Linked DNA regions of Drosophila melanogaster. Changing the gene in region 3 together with the main gene of any one other region gives a genetic interaction. Each region holds a gene or a part of one and is shown on either strand. Other genes may lie near its edges.

Evidence for each region.
Region 1: of Taf9 (region 3) and w, changing one enhances a phenotype caused by changing the other (phenotypic enhancement), as found in Drosophila melanogaster (2 studies listed by BioGRID).
Region 2: of Taf9 (region 3) and y, changing one enhances a phenotype caused by changing the other (phenotypic enhancement), as found in Drosophila melanogaster (2 studies listed by BioGRID).

The regions. Positions count from the first base shown.
Region 1 is NC_004354.4:2,794,470-2,798,731, forward strand, and holds the start of w (white), read right to left. Parts: upstream 1,998-4,262; 5' UTR 1,840-1,997; coding exon 1,768-1,839; intron 1-1,767. UniProt on the Drosophila melanogaster protein: ATP-dependent transporter of the ATP-binding cassette (ABC) family which transports various molecules including bioamines, neurotransmitters, metabolic intermediates and second messengers.
Region 2 is NC_004354.4:354,016-358,277, reverse strand, and holds the start of y (yellow), read right to left. Parts: upstream 1,770-4,262; 5' UTR 1,599-1,769; coding exon 1,361-1,598; intron 1-1,360. UniProt on the Drosophila melanogaster protein: Controls the pigmentation pattern of the adult cuticle and larval mouth parts.
Region 3 is NC_004354.4:17,839,499-17,843,760, reverse strand, and holds Taf9 (TBP-associated factor 9), read right to left. Parts: upstream 1,601-4,262; 5' UTR 1,503-1,600; coding exon 1,352-1,502; intron 1,288-1,351; coding exon 602-1,287; 3' UTR 413-601; downstream 1-412. Other genes in the region: CG8142 (uncharacterized protein), read left to right, coding at 1-192, 255-341; CG6398 (uncharacterized protein), read right to left, coding at 2,662-2,771, 2,834-2,999, 3,066-3,406, 3,472-3,601. UniProt on the Drosophila melanogaster protein: TFIID is a multimeric protein complex that plays a central role in mediating promoter responses to various activators and repressors.

The DNA.
Region 1 (4,262 bases), about 15 Mb from region 3:
ATTTAAAATTAAATTTATTTTTCAAAACGATTGGGGGATTTGGATTTATCGTTTACATTGCTACATATAAAATCTAGCTAAAAGACCAAAGCCTGAAAACTGTTGCATTTCCTCCTTAGCGAGGCTTCACTGCTCATCTTCTGCTGCGATGCTTTGACAGCTTATTCTTCTAGCCACTCAGTGTCCAGTTTTTGGCCTGTTACCAAAAAAAAAGCACAATTGGTGACGTTACGAGAGGTAGACGCGAAAAAATGTAATATCCGTTTTCAGGCACTCCTCGAGCAGAGCGAGATGGCCATATGGCTGGGAAAGAGATAGAGGGACATGGCGAAATTGTTTTCACAACAAATGAGGCCGAAAAATGTTATTAAAAAGTTTTCTTTTCTTTTCTGTTTTCGCCGTCCCTTTCCCACTGGGTTTTCTTATCTCCCTGCCTCCTCTGGTTTACTCTCCCACCTTTTCCCTATTTTCGTATTTTGTTGAAATAAGTAGCGAAAGATGCTACATTTCATATTTATTTAATTTTTTGGCTTACTTTTTTTTTTATTTACTTTGCGTGCTATTTTTGAATTACTTACGAAATACGAAGGAAACTCGAGGAGTGGGCGCTAGATGGCGCTGTGCAGGGAGGCGAAGGAGTATCGTGATGAACTTGACAAATTGAAATGACTGAATAAAGAAGCGACTCAATTTGTTGTTCCTCCCGTTTTGTCGATTGTGCGAGTGGCTAATGAGTGCACTCAAAAGTCATTCACTTTGATGAGAACGAAATACTGAAGGAGGCGCAATTATTCAGCGGAAAAGCTGACGACCACTCGATATTATTAAGGAAATATCAGAGCGTAAACGGCCCAATATGTACATATATGCAACGAACATATAATTAAAGATGGCTTCAAATATTCCATACATATCATATTTTTCAATACTTTGTTACCTTTACTGCGTTACTTACTTCCCAAAAGAATTAAAGTTCTTATCTCCTTGTATAACTTTTTGAGACTTTTCAAAATTGTTTCAAAGAGCCCGGGGCTAGATATGCAAATCGTACTCACTTATTTATTTTGTTATACAAGCCGAGGTGCTAAGAATTTAAAGCAAGATACGCACGAAGATACCTAGATATCAGATGCTGAGCCCAAAGCATTCGTCTAGCCAAATAATGACCCAGATAAGACTAGATTGTACATTTTTCGTCGAGCGAGACGTGCAAACAACGAGGTATTAAGATCAGGTAGAAGATGCGAGTACACAACCAGAAATGGATACGGATACAGTATCTAGTATCTTGGCAAGCCTAGAGTTATAGACACCCAGCAATGTTGTTGGCCAACTTAAGCCGACTCCTCCCACGCCACCACTGGTTATGCGTCCCTAATTACGATCTACTACATCCAACTATTTGGGGTCGATGTATAATGTAGTGTAGTGTAGTGTAGTGTAGCAAGAAAATATTTGAGAATGAAAGGTGGAAGAAATGAGGACTTCATGGTAAGCTTAAAATATCTGGTTGTTATATTTTTTGTAAAAAAGAATATAGTCGAAAATGAATGCCTTTAGATGTCTTGATCATGATATGATCTCAAAAATTGTCTTATATAGCGAGAACAGCTACCAGAATAATCTGTTTCGTGTCACTATTTGTTTGTGCAATTGCGGTTTGGGATTTTTGTGGGTCGCAGTTCTCACGCCGCAGACAATTTGATGTTGCAATCGCAGTTCCTATAGATCAAGTGAACTTAAGATGTATGCACATGTACTACTCACATTGTTCAGATGCTCGGCAGATGGGTGTTTGCTGCCTCCGCGAATTAATAGCTCCTGATCCTCTTGGCCCATTGCCGGGATTTTTCACACTTTCCCCTGCTTACCCACCCAAAACCAATCACCACCCCAATCACTCAAAAAACAAACAAAAATAAGAAGCGAGAGGAGTTTTGGCACAGCACTTTGTGTTTAATTGATGGCGTAAACCGCTTGGAGCTTCGTCACGAAACCGCTGACAAAATGCAACTGAAGGCGGACATTGACGCTACGTAACGCTACAAACGGTGGCGAAAGAGATAGCGGACGCAGCGGCGAAAGAGACGGCGATATTTCTGTGGACAGAGAAGGAGGCAAACAGCGCTGACTTTGAGTGGAATGTCATTTTGAGTGAGAGGTAATCGAAAGAACCTGGTACATCAAATACCCTTGGATCGAAGTAAATTTAAAACTGATCAGATAAGTTCAATGATATCCAGTGCAGTAAAAAAAAAAAATGTTTTTTTTATCTACTTTCCGCAAAAATGGGTTTTATTAACTTACATACATACTAGTGACAACATGTTTATGTTTAGCTAATGTGTTCCGTTCAAAATAATTAAAAATTCGACCACCTTTGCACCAATATGATAGTACCCCACCTGGGCAGTACTCATAAGCTGAGTGGCTGTCTTTGAATACTGATTAGGTTGAGTGGGAAGCGTCTTCTTATCGTGAATAAGAGAGTTCTTGTTAATCCGCCTGTTGTCGTCCCGTTTCGGGGGTTTGCACTGTACTTTGCATGCATGATTTATCAAACGGCGACTGTTGATGATGCGCATTCCGCACTCCCCGTTTCCCGTACGCCTATCCGCACCCGTACTTCGGACACTCCGGTCGTTGTCGTCATCGTTAGCACCTCATCTCAGGCCCCGGAATCATGAACTGCCGCCATCAGCTGTCCGGGCATTATCAATCTTCATCATCGGGGCCAGTTGGTCCAGGATATGGATCTCGACTGGGACGGGTTTTCCGGGAGGCTATCAATACCATTTTCACGGACGATGTGGTAACAGGTTAGCAGTTGCAGTTGCCGAGGAATCTGCAGGAATTAATTTGCTGACGACGATTAAGTGGTCTTCAAATGAATATGGTTTTCTTTTGAGAGTTTAGCTCAGAATAATAGCTTTTGATTCGATTTGCAAGTTAATTATGCATATGCATGTGATATTTGTAGAAGTCTCACTCAGCACTAGTAACATTATTTCATGTGCCAGTTTTAATGCATATATGTTCTGCTCTACAACAGCTTCAAAGTTCGAAATAAATGATTTTCCTATTTCACTGAAGATCTTTAGCTGACTCAAAGTTAGATGTATGTACGATTCGTAAGAGACTTCCTTTGTGGGCCGATCTAGCGACAGACAACAAAGAAACGTCAATGTTTCACTCATTTTTGCCAACTAACCGAGTTTTTCGCTCAGTGACACTTATGGGGCTTCTTCGATGTTGGTTGAGTGGAGCTCGAATCGGGTTTAGACCGTCTTGAAGTTCGTGTTCGTGTGTGTTTGCCATTACTAACTCACTCAAATGCTGTAAACTTTTTGCACTTAACAATTTATTGTCACTCGCCTGTCGCAGCAGCGAAAGAGCTGAAAAATGGCATTACAACAAAAAGTGCTTAAAACCGATTATGAAATGCTCTAAGGGAATGCTGTAATTAATTAGTTTGCCGTTTTTATGCGCTCTAAATCAATAATAAAGTTAATTGCATACGTATAAGTATGCAGTTCATTTTTTTTAGAGTGGCCTTAACTTGATTTTTGCTTATTAGCCCTGCAATTGAACATTTTTTTTTGCCCTACCTTTGGGATTCTTTAAATTGGTTTGCTATTCCACAATGCAATGCAATAACACCGTATTGAAAAGCGAAAAGGAAGTAACTTGAACTGAGGCGTAGAAAGTTTTTTTCAACACACACTTTTATACTCTCTCCGCACAGTCACACCTACATACATATGTATATATATATATATATATATATATATCGGCAAAGGTAAGTCCCCAGCCATTGTCACAGGAAGTGCGGTCTGGTGGGGGGTTGGGGGGGTTGGTCTGGGTTGACTTAACCCCCAGATTTTCTTGCCTCTGTACGTTTAACCCATGCAAATTATTGACGCGGACAGCGGGCTCAATAAATCTGTGTATGTGTTTGTGTGTGTGTGAGTGGAGAAACTTTTGCTAGCTGCACGCTAATCAGACAGCTTTCTAGTTCATTGCTTTGGTCCCCCTTTCTAAGGGCCACGCCCCCCCTCCCCTCATACCAACCTCAGCCGGCGCCCACTTTCATCTAAGGCACTCAGTTGGCTGTAATTGCAAAGTAAATCAGCGCTGCCATTTGCCATGCCCCGAAAAGTACGATCCATGGAAAAAGTGGCAAAAGTGGTAAATGGTCGGTGGTGGTGGTGGGGGGGTGGGGTACTGGAGTTTTCCGGGGGCCAAGGATAATGTGAGAGGGC
Region 2 (4,262 bases), about 17 Mb from region 3:
CATAGAATAGTTTTTCCAATTGAGCCCAGCATTGGTGGTCAATGATAATATTTATAATTAATCATACCCCATAACTGTCACTTATAGGTATTCTGTAGCCTGTTGTTGCCACTACCGATTTGCTTTGACTAATTGATTTGCTTCGATGGCCATTGAAGCATGCCTTTAAATGTTCCACTTTGCCACAACTTTCACTATGTTTTGTTTGCCGTAACTTGGGGTTTATTTTTTGCCGATTCGGCCTTCTGGGCTATTATTTCATTGACTGGAGGTAGTCAGTCGATATCTTTTTAAAAAGAGACCTCAAGGCTGGGCCAGAATATTTTGATATACTTAATAATACAATACCATTACATTATAAGTGACATTAAGATATCCTTGAAGAGCGTGTTTTTTTAAGTTTAGTCAGAAGTTTGGGTGTTTCGGACTGCTTAAGAACATATGTACAAAATTTATTAACATCGCCGTGTTTTTCTGTGTAAATACCAATTGTAAGCCATGCATAAAAACTAATCAATCATCGAAAGCATTCCTAGACGTACTGAAGTATTTGTATGCGCATCATATAATCTTAGCAATTGGGTTTTTTAGTTTCATTGCTTTTTAAAATTTCCTAGTTTTGTGTTTCAACTATTTCATAAAAATTTTGATTATTGTGTAAGCCAAATAATTTTGAAGCAAAATCATTTGTGTGATTAATAATAAAACGTGAGTCACAGAACAATGCCTTCGCATTTAAACATTTCGCCACTCTTACATTTGTTGAACTGACAGCTAATCGTCGGTTAATAGCTAATGCCATAAGTTATTGTTTGTGATTGGATTTCCATTTCTATGTGGCGGCCCTGAAGAAGTCTTTACAATTCGGATGGTAATATAATACAATTTAATACAGTATAAAGCCAATGCCATGCTATTGGCTTCGATTTTACAACGGTTAATTGTTTAAAATGTTAAAATAACGCGCAGGTACCAACCGGATTTATGAGAGGTCGCCACGCTAAAACCTTTACATGAGGGTGCTCTCAAAATATATTGTCATATTTATTCCTCTGCCAAAATGGTGAAAAGGCATACAAATAAAAAAATACATTTTTCGTCTGTACTAGTTTAAAATTAAATTGTACAAAACAATATTATTTTCTAAGAAGGGTAGAAAGACAAAAAAATGTTCTCCAAATTCTAAAATAAATAACAAGCTCTTATTTGAATACCTAAACTAAATGAATTTTGTGTTTTTACATCATGTCAAACAAGCCATATAAAACTGTCAACCACTCAATCAGATATCTCTGATGCCCTAAGTAAGAATGTCCCATTTACGATCTCCCCAAGGGCTTCATATTTAACTTCCACTTACCATCACGCCAGCGGGGAACAGTGACGAATAACCGATTGCCAAAGTGTTCGACTCCAACAGGTAGAGCATTTTGCGGAATATAATCTCCACTAGCCAGAGCTTGGTCCTTTAGTCGGGTATTCGGGAAAGCAAAGTCCAGCTGGCTCCAACTATATCGCTCCTGAAGTTTGTAAGCAGCCCAAGACGGCGTCACCAAGGTGATCAGGGTCACAAGGATCCACCCTTTGTCCTGGAACAGTGCACTTAGCTCTAAGCTGACAATCACTCTTAACACTTAAGCCAAAGTGTGTTGGCAATAAAAAAAAATATATTTGTTTATATATGTTCAGCTATAGGGGGTTCTTCTCTAGCCTTCGGCTGTGTGATATTTTTTTAATCCTCTTCTGTGGACCGTGGCGCGGTAACGACTGGTGGCCATAATATGTCGGCCGCGTTTTATATGAAGTTTTTTTTCTCCGAAGACGAAGACAGGCCAATGAAAATGAAAACGAAGGCGCGCGCCAACTTCGGTGGTTTTAGTGATTCGGGTGGTTCAGTGTTCGGGTAATCAGGTGGCTTATGCTGTTCCCATAGATCGGCCAACTTTGCGTTTTGTCTTCCATGATTGATTTTCACGCATGTTTAATAAATACACTCGAATCCCCCAATTTAATGAGTCAGACATCACCTTTCGCTGGGTTTGGTATGATTTTTGGCCTTCATCGACATTTAAAACTGCGCTGATTTGTGCCGAAATACCTTTCGGTACCCTAAAAGATTAAGACCTATTTTAAAGTTGTGACTACTATTTATTTAATTTTAGGGACTTTATTTGACGATCTAATTTCAAACAAGTAAATTGTAAGGCCAGGAGGCTCGTGCATAGAATGCATTGCTCTCCAAATTTCTGAAAATCTGAAAGCTTAATACATGACAGTTGTGTTCTGAGAACAGTGTTCATCTTTATCGGCGACTGCAAAAAATGTTCTAATATGATTTTTTAGTTCAATTCATTAAAAAAATCAAATCAATATTATATGAAATACATGCAGACAAAAATCCAGAAATATCAAATAAATCGTTATTATAACGTGTACTATGTAGAGTATTTAAAGCAGGTGTTTCCTTGTATACTATTAAATTGGAACTCGTGCTCGTTTCAATTGCTTAGGATTGGATTTCGATTGGGCGTCACCGATGATTCACAATTCACTGAGGGTCAAATATTTGGTTTCCGCTAGTTATTGGCAGGTGATTTTGAGCATACATATACATAAATATAATTGAGTGTTACATAAAATTTCAAAAGGGACGAAAGCGCTTTTAGGTAATTCCACTAGCTGTTATTTAAAATATTGTGGTCCCTGAAAATCAACTGGATGTTGGGGGTGCCCTAAGTGGGTAATGCTCTAATGACCATCGCCGCAAGTAAATGTTAAAAATTCGAACCGAAAGCGATCGCATATATCTCTTGGCCCAAATGCACCTGCTTGCTAAAGAAAAAATTGCAAAACTTAAGTAAAGTAATACAACCAGCCACACGCATAATAAACATGCAAATGGGTAAAAATACGTTTTACGACCTCCGCAGATAAAGTGGTTTGCATTAATCCTCAATAATCTACACTTTAAATAAGGAAAACCTCTCAAAATATTAAAATACAAATTAAAGAATGCCGTTTAAATTTAATCTTATTTCTTCGGATGTCTAAAAACAATTTCAAAGCTAATGTAACCATTACTGCTATTGAATTTGTGTAGTTTTTGGACTCTATATCATTTATGCAATGCTATTTTTTCTTAGAAGTGGTTCAACTTGATCCCTTGCCCGCATTCTAAATCATTGCACCCACAGAAAAATAAACAAACACGGTGTGGCAATCGAAAAATATGTTGCACAAAATTACCGGCAATGCTGCTCGAATTTATTGCGATCGGCAGGCTTATTAAAAGACACACTTGAAATAACCAGTACAGTTTTATTAATTAATTGTGTGTGTTGTGTAATGAAATGGTGTATTTACTAAAAACGCAACTAATGATGCGATCGCTGCAGCCGTTGAACCTATAATTTTTTTCGAATTGACTTGTTTTCAAGTTTTTGCTTAATTGTGTGGGGGGATGCTGCGTTTGTCTGTTTGGTTACTGTTTTTCTTTTTCGCTTTTCAGAGCTTGCGGCAATGATTTATACGCACTTTTCCCAATAATTGAAACAAGTTTTCTGCCCCAGCACAAAACAAAACAACATCAAGCGGAGCGCGCTAAGTGGTCAAAAAAAGCTTCCACAAATCAGATCTCTTTGGCATAATTGACTAACGCTTATGCAACCGACCGGCAACATTCGACATTATTTACACACAGGATCACTTCAACTTGGGCGGAAAGCAAAGCCGAATACCGCATGACATTGCCCGACCCGTGTTTCATGTTTTATTTTCCTTATTCCCCACTTATGGCAGCCTGGACATTATCTCCCTCCCTCCCCTCCCCCCTCCTACACTAATTTGGAAATCCATCGTGACTGCAAAACGAAAAACCCGTTGCTCAACTTCTCTAACATAAGCGGTACACAGCATTTTCCGTTTTGTGTTATATATTTTTGTGTTTTTTTTTTTTTCAAGTTCAATGTCCATGGCCCTGACCGCCGGGTCCCCTCCTTTCGAGCTGGGATTATTTGGCATGGCCAAATTCGGAAGGCCGCGATCACTTCCCGCTTACACACAATTGCACATGTCCCCATGACATGCACTGCGCTCAAACTATTAGTACCCCTTAGTAACTTAAGCCAAATTAAAAATAAGTTCATTAATATAAATAAAATAGTCAATTTCCACTGTCCCGATTGAATAGAGAAACTTTATTTGTAAATTTTAAATGTCGCCAAGGAACTCGCTAGATATACTAAACCAAAACCGATTGTAGC
Region 3 (4,262 bases):
CCGGAGTACTATCTGGAGGATTACCTGGAGGTCTGTCGCTCTGGGAACTACGAGCGCCTGGAGCAGTTCGTGCGGGAGATTGGCTTCTCCGCCTACAGCGTTGGCCAAATGATGGAACAGTTCGTCGAGTTCATTGTCCATCATCCGGGGCTGAATGATCCGCAAAAGGCCACGATCTGCGATAAGCTGGGCGTACGTACTGACTGCATAGATAGATATGATTCCTCTTGTTTATTGCTGCCTTTATCCCACAGGAATGCTGCTTTCGACTGCAGGACGGCGGCTCCGAGTATCTGCAGATCATGGACCTTGGCTGCTGCATCATCTTAGCTTTAAAGTAATCTCATCCCACTCAGCACATTCATTACATGTACTTTATCCGCGACTGGAGTCTAAAATAAATGTTATATTTAATATGAAAATCTGGTAGTTGTATTTGTGTATAAAACGTAGATTTCATAATGATTAACGGGCGAATCTATACTAAGGTTTTTGGGACTTCACATTCGAGTTGAAATTTAGACCCCCAGTTCGCTCAACCAAATGCAAGTGCTTTGGTCTGGTTTAAGAATATTAATTTAAGGTAAATGATGTCGTTTCGCTAGTTGGTCACAAACTCAAACTCCTCCTCCTCACGTTCCCGCTTGACGGCCACTCCAACGCCAGATGATCCTCCTCCTCCTCCTCCTCCGCTGGCACTTCCTGCTCCCGAACCGGATGCGCCAGCGATGCTGCCCACGGCCGCCGCATCGCTGTCCACCTCCATCTTGAGATCTCCGCCGGCGCCGGTGCTCTCGCTCTTAACCTCCTGACCACCGCCGCCCCCAGATCCGCCGGAGCTGCCCACCGTTTTCGTTGTCGTAGTGGTGGTAAACTTGATGACGGGCTTGGGAATGGTCACCACCTGCTGCTTGGCCACCACGGAGTGTGGCCTCTTCGGACCATTGGCGCTGGAGACGGGCTTAACGACGGTCTTCAGTGGACGGCCCTCCACCGCCGACTTGGTCATTTTCTTGGGCTGATTAGTGGCCCGCAGTTTGTAGTTGACGCCGGTGAGACAGTAGCGGTCGGGCGGCAGTCGGAGACCGCAGTGCGGCTTAATGGGTGGCAGGGGCATGCTGTTGCGCACGTCGGCCACCTTGGCTAGAACGTGGCGCTCCAACGGCCCGGTGAAGCTCTTGTCCAGCGTAACCTCGGTGGCCAGACGCACGTCGTCCAAGTCGATGGTCTTCTTGCGCGCATGGTTGGCGTACACCTTGGCGTCGTCCAGAATGCAGGTTACATAGCCTGCAATGCAAGACAGCATTTAGGAAAATGATGTGGGAAAAGCAAGGCATTAATCGCCGCTTACGGAAGGTGAACTCCAGCAGTTGGTTGACCACGCGCGGCTCGTACTCCTGGACATTCAGCTCCTTCAGGATGGACATGATCACCTGCGCGTCCTTCGGCACGTGCTTGATTTGGGCACTGATCTTGGCCTTATCGGACTTCTCTGCGCTCATACTTCTATAGTTATTATGTTTACGTCGGCTTTGCTGCAAGAAGATTGTTTATTCCATTGAAATTGTGCACGTACATATATACGGGTCTATCGGAAATCGGTGAGCTTATGCGATACTATCGATGCAGACGTCTAGTGTGGAAAACGCCGCTGGACTGCAGGGTGGCAACTCTGGCTCTGGCCATTTAAAAAAAACGGCTAAATTAGAAATCGATTTTTAAATGTAGGAACAAATCTAATGAAGCTTATCCAAAATATTAAACAATAAGCATATTTCTACCAGATCACATAACACCACATTGGCATAATAGGTGGACCAATAGGTGGAATATTAACTATCAGAAACAACAATTTCAAAATATTTCGGAATTAACGAAACGAGAACAAATGGCAGAGTGAAATGAAGACTACAATTCTGTTTAGTTTTAATAAAGTCAAAAATTTCTCTCACACGACTTGATAAGCTTATTAACAAAACTTGAATACCCCAGTTGTGGAAAAACAAAAACGAAGTCCCGCCAAAAGGAGCTAAAAACTGTTAAATTAACGTAAGAAACTTTTATTCATTAAACGTACAGCTCTACATACAATATGCACTATACTTGGAAGACAATTGAAGCTTGTCGCGCATTATTACATTCATATACATTGTACAATGAAACTTTTAGCTTAGATACATACACATATTTCTTTATTATTATTTTAGATACGCTACATGTACGTTACGTGCTACAATAAATTAACTCTTTATTGTTCCGTCTTTAAATCGCCATCTCGCCGTGGTCAACATATAAAACCATCCATCCATTCGTCTCTCTTAGATATTTGCAAAATAACGCGCAAACAATTCGCGCACCAAAAACTTGGACGCAACTTTGACTCAAGTCCCACGATCAGTTATACATACAAGCATATATATATATACTATATAGCTCTATATAGACTACAAACTAGATTCTTGTCGAAAAAAAAAATTGATGCTTTAAGTAATATTTTCATTGTCAGAATGTATGCGTTTTAAGATTTCGTTAGCGCTTGCTCTATTTTGATTACTGGGGAGGGCTACCAGGTTCCCTCCTGGTCATGATTTGTGATCTCTATGTCTCTATAACTCAATTGCAGCTGCTGGCTGAAGCTGGCTGGCCCCTTCGGGTGTGCCTCTAGTAGTTGTAGGGTCCGTACTGCGAGCCATGATAGTAAGGTCCTGGGTAGATCTGCGGCTGGGCGTAGTTGGCATAAGGGGGATAGGGTGGCTGCTTCTGCGAGTAAACTGGAAATGGAAACCGAAAATTAGTCATTAGTTATATTAGAGGGTCAGCACGATGGACATACCTGGCATCAGGTACTGCAGGTTCAGCTGCTCCTCCTTCTCCCGCTCGTTGCGCAGGCAAACGGCCGCGCCGGAGAGCAGAATGGACGCCAGGAGACAGGTTCCGATTCCTGCCCAGGCCACGATGTACGACCAGTCGTAGGCGATCTTCGTGTTGTCGCGCAGGACCTAATAAATCAAGATATTCATCATTAGTTAATCCACATACATGCCCAATGCAGCTGGTGTACATACCGTGTTCCACTGCTGGAAGTAATCCTCGCCCACGACCTTCTCCTTCTCAAAGAACTCGACGGTGTGCCAGAGTCCCATGGCGCCGGCGGCCAGGAGACAGGTGACTAGCAGCAGTATCGAGGTGGCTGTGATGGCGCCCGACGACCGCTTCCAGCAGCCGGATAATCCGGTCCAGAACGCACAGAAGATGGTCACAAAGCTGATGATGAACAGAGCGATGCAGGAGCGGGCCAAATGGAGACGCGATGTGGCGTCCTCGTTGGCGATCTTCTCGTCCTCCGCCTGCGGGAAGTAGTCGATGTTCGAGCAGTGTGTCTCGATCGGTGACAAATAGGTGGGCACTGCGCGACGGGAATGGAAATGGATTAAATAACTCCCATGTGATGTAAAATGCAGCATTACTCACCCGCTGAAACTGGCGGCCGCTCCTTGGGATAGCAGATCCGGAACAAGCCTCGTGTCCTCGTGTAGTAATAGTACTTCACGTTCATGTTGTGCAACAACGACTCCGCATCCGAGTGCTTGGCGGCAAAGGACTGAAATCGAAAGGATAGTCCATATTAGCTAAGCTCAATTGCAGTTCAAAGTTATGGTTACAAGTGTTTGAAACTATCCTATCTTAGCTCTTAGCTCTGGCCCTACCCATACTTGTCTTAATAGCCACACATTTATTTATAGCCCGCGGATTAACCTTCTTAGGGAATTAGCGCCGCAATTCAAGCTCACGTCGCCAATTGTTATTCAATCGAATTGTACACTAAGCCCCCCCCACCCCCTCACCATCACATTTTCAATACATACTCATTAATAAAACCTGTTTCCGCCCCCTCGTGGGCGTATCTTGATAATGTGTCCAACTACCTCGCCCCAGACTCCATTAACAGTCGCAATCCCAGCGAGAAATACAGACAGTCAGCATTGAACCGCTGTCGATCATCATCATCCGGTCATCTTAACGATATACGGATGTTCGTACGGTGTGGGTTCGTATATGCTATATGCTATATGCTATATACTATATGATGCTATAGGTGCTATATGGCATACGCTCAAGTGTTGTATGCTATATGGCCCTAGTATCAGATTGCGTGGCAATTTGAACACGTTCCGCGGTTTTCCATTGTTTTTTTTTTTTTTTTGGCATTTGCTGCTGGCTTGAGCAATTCTCGAGTGCGGGTTTACGACCCAAGGTTCATG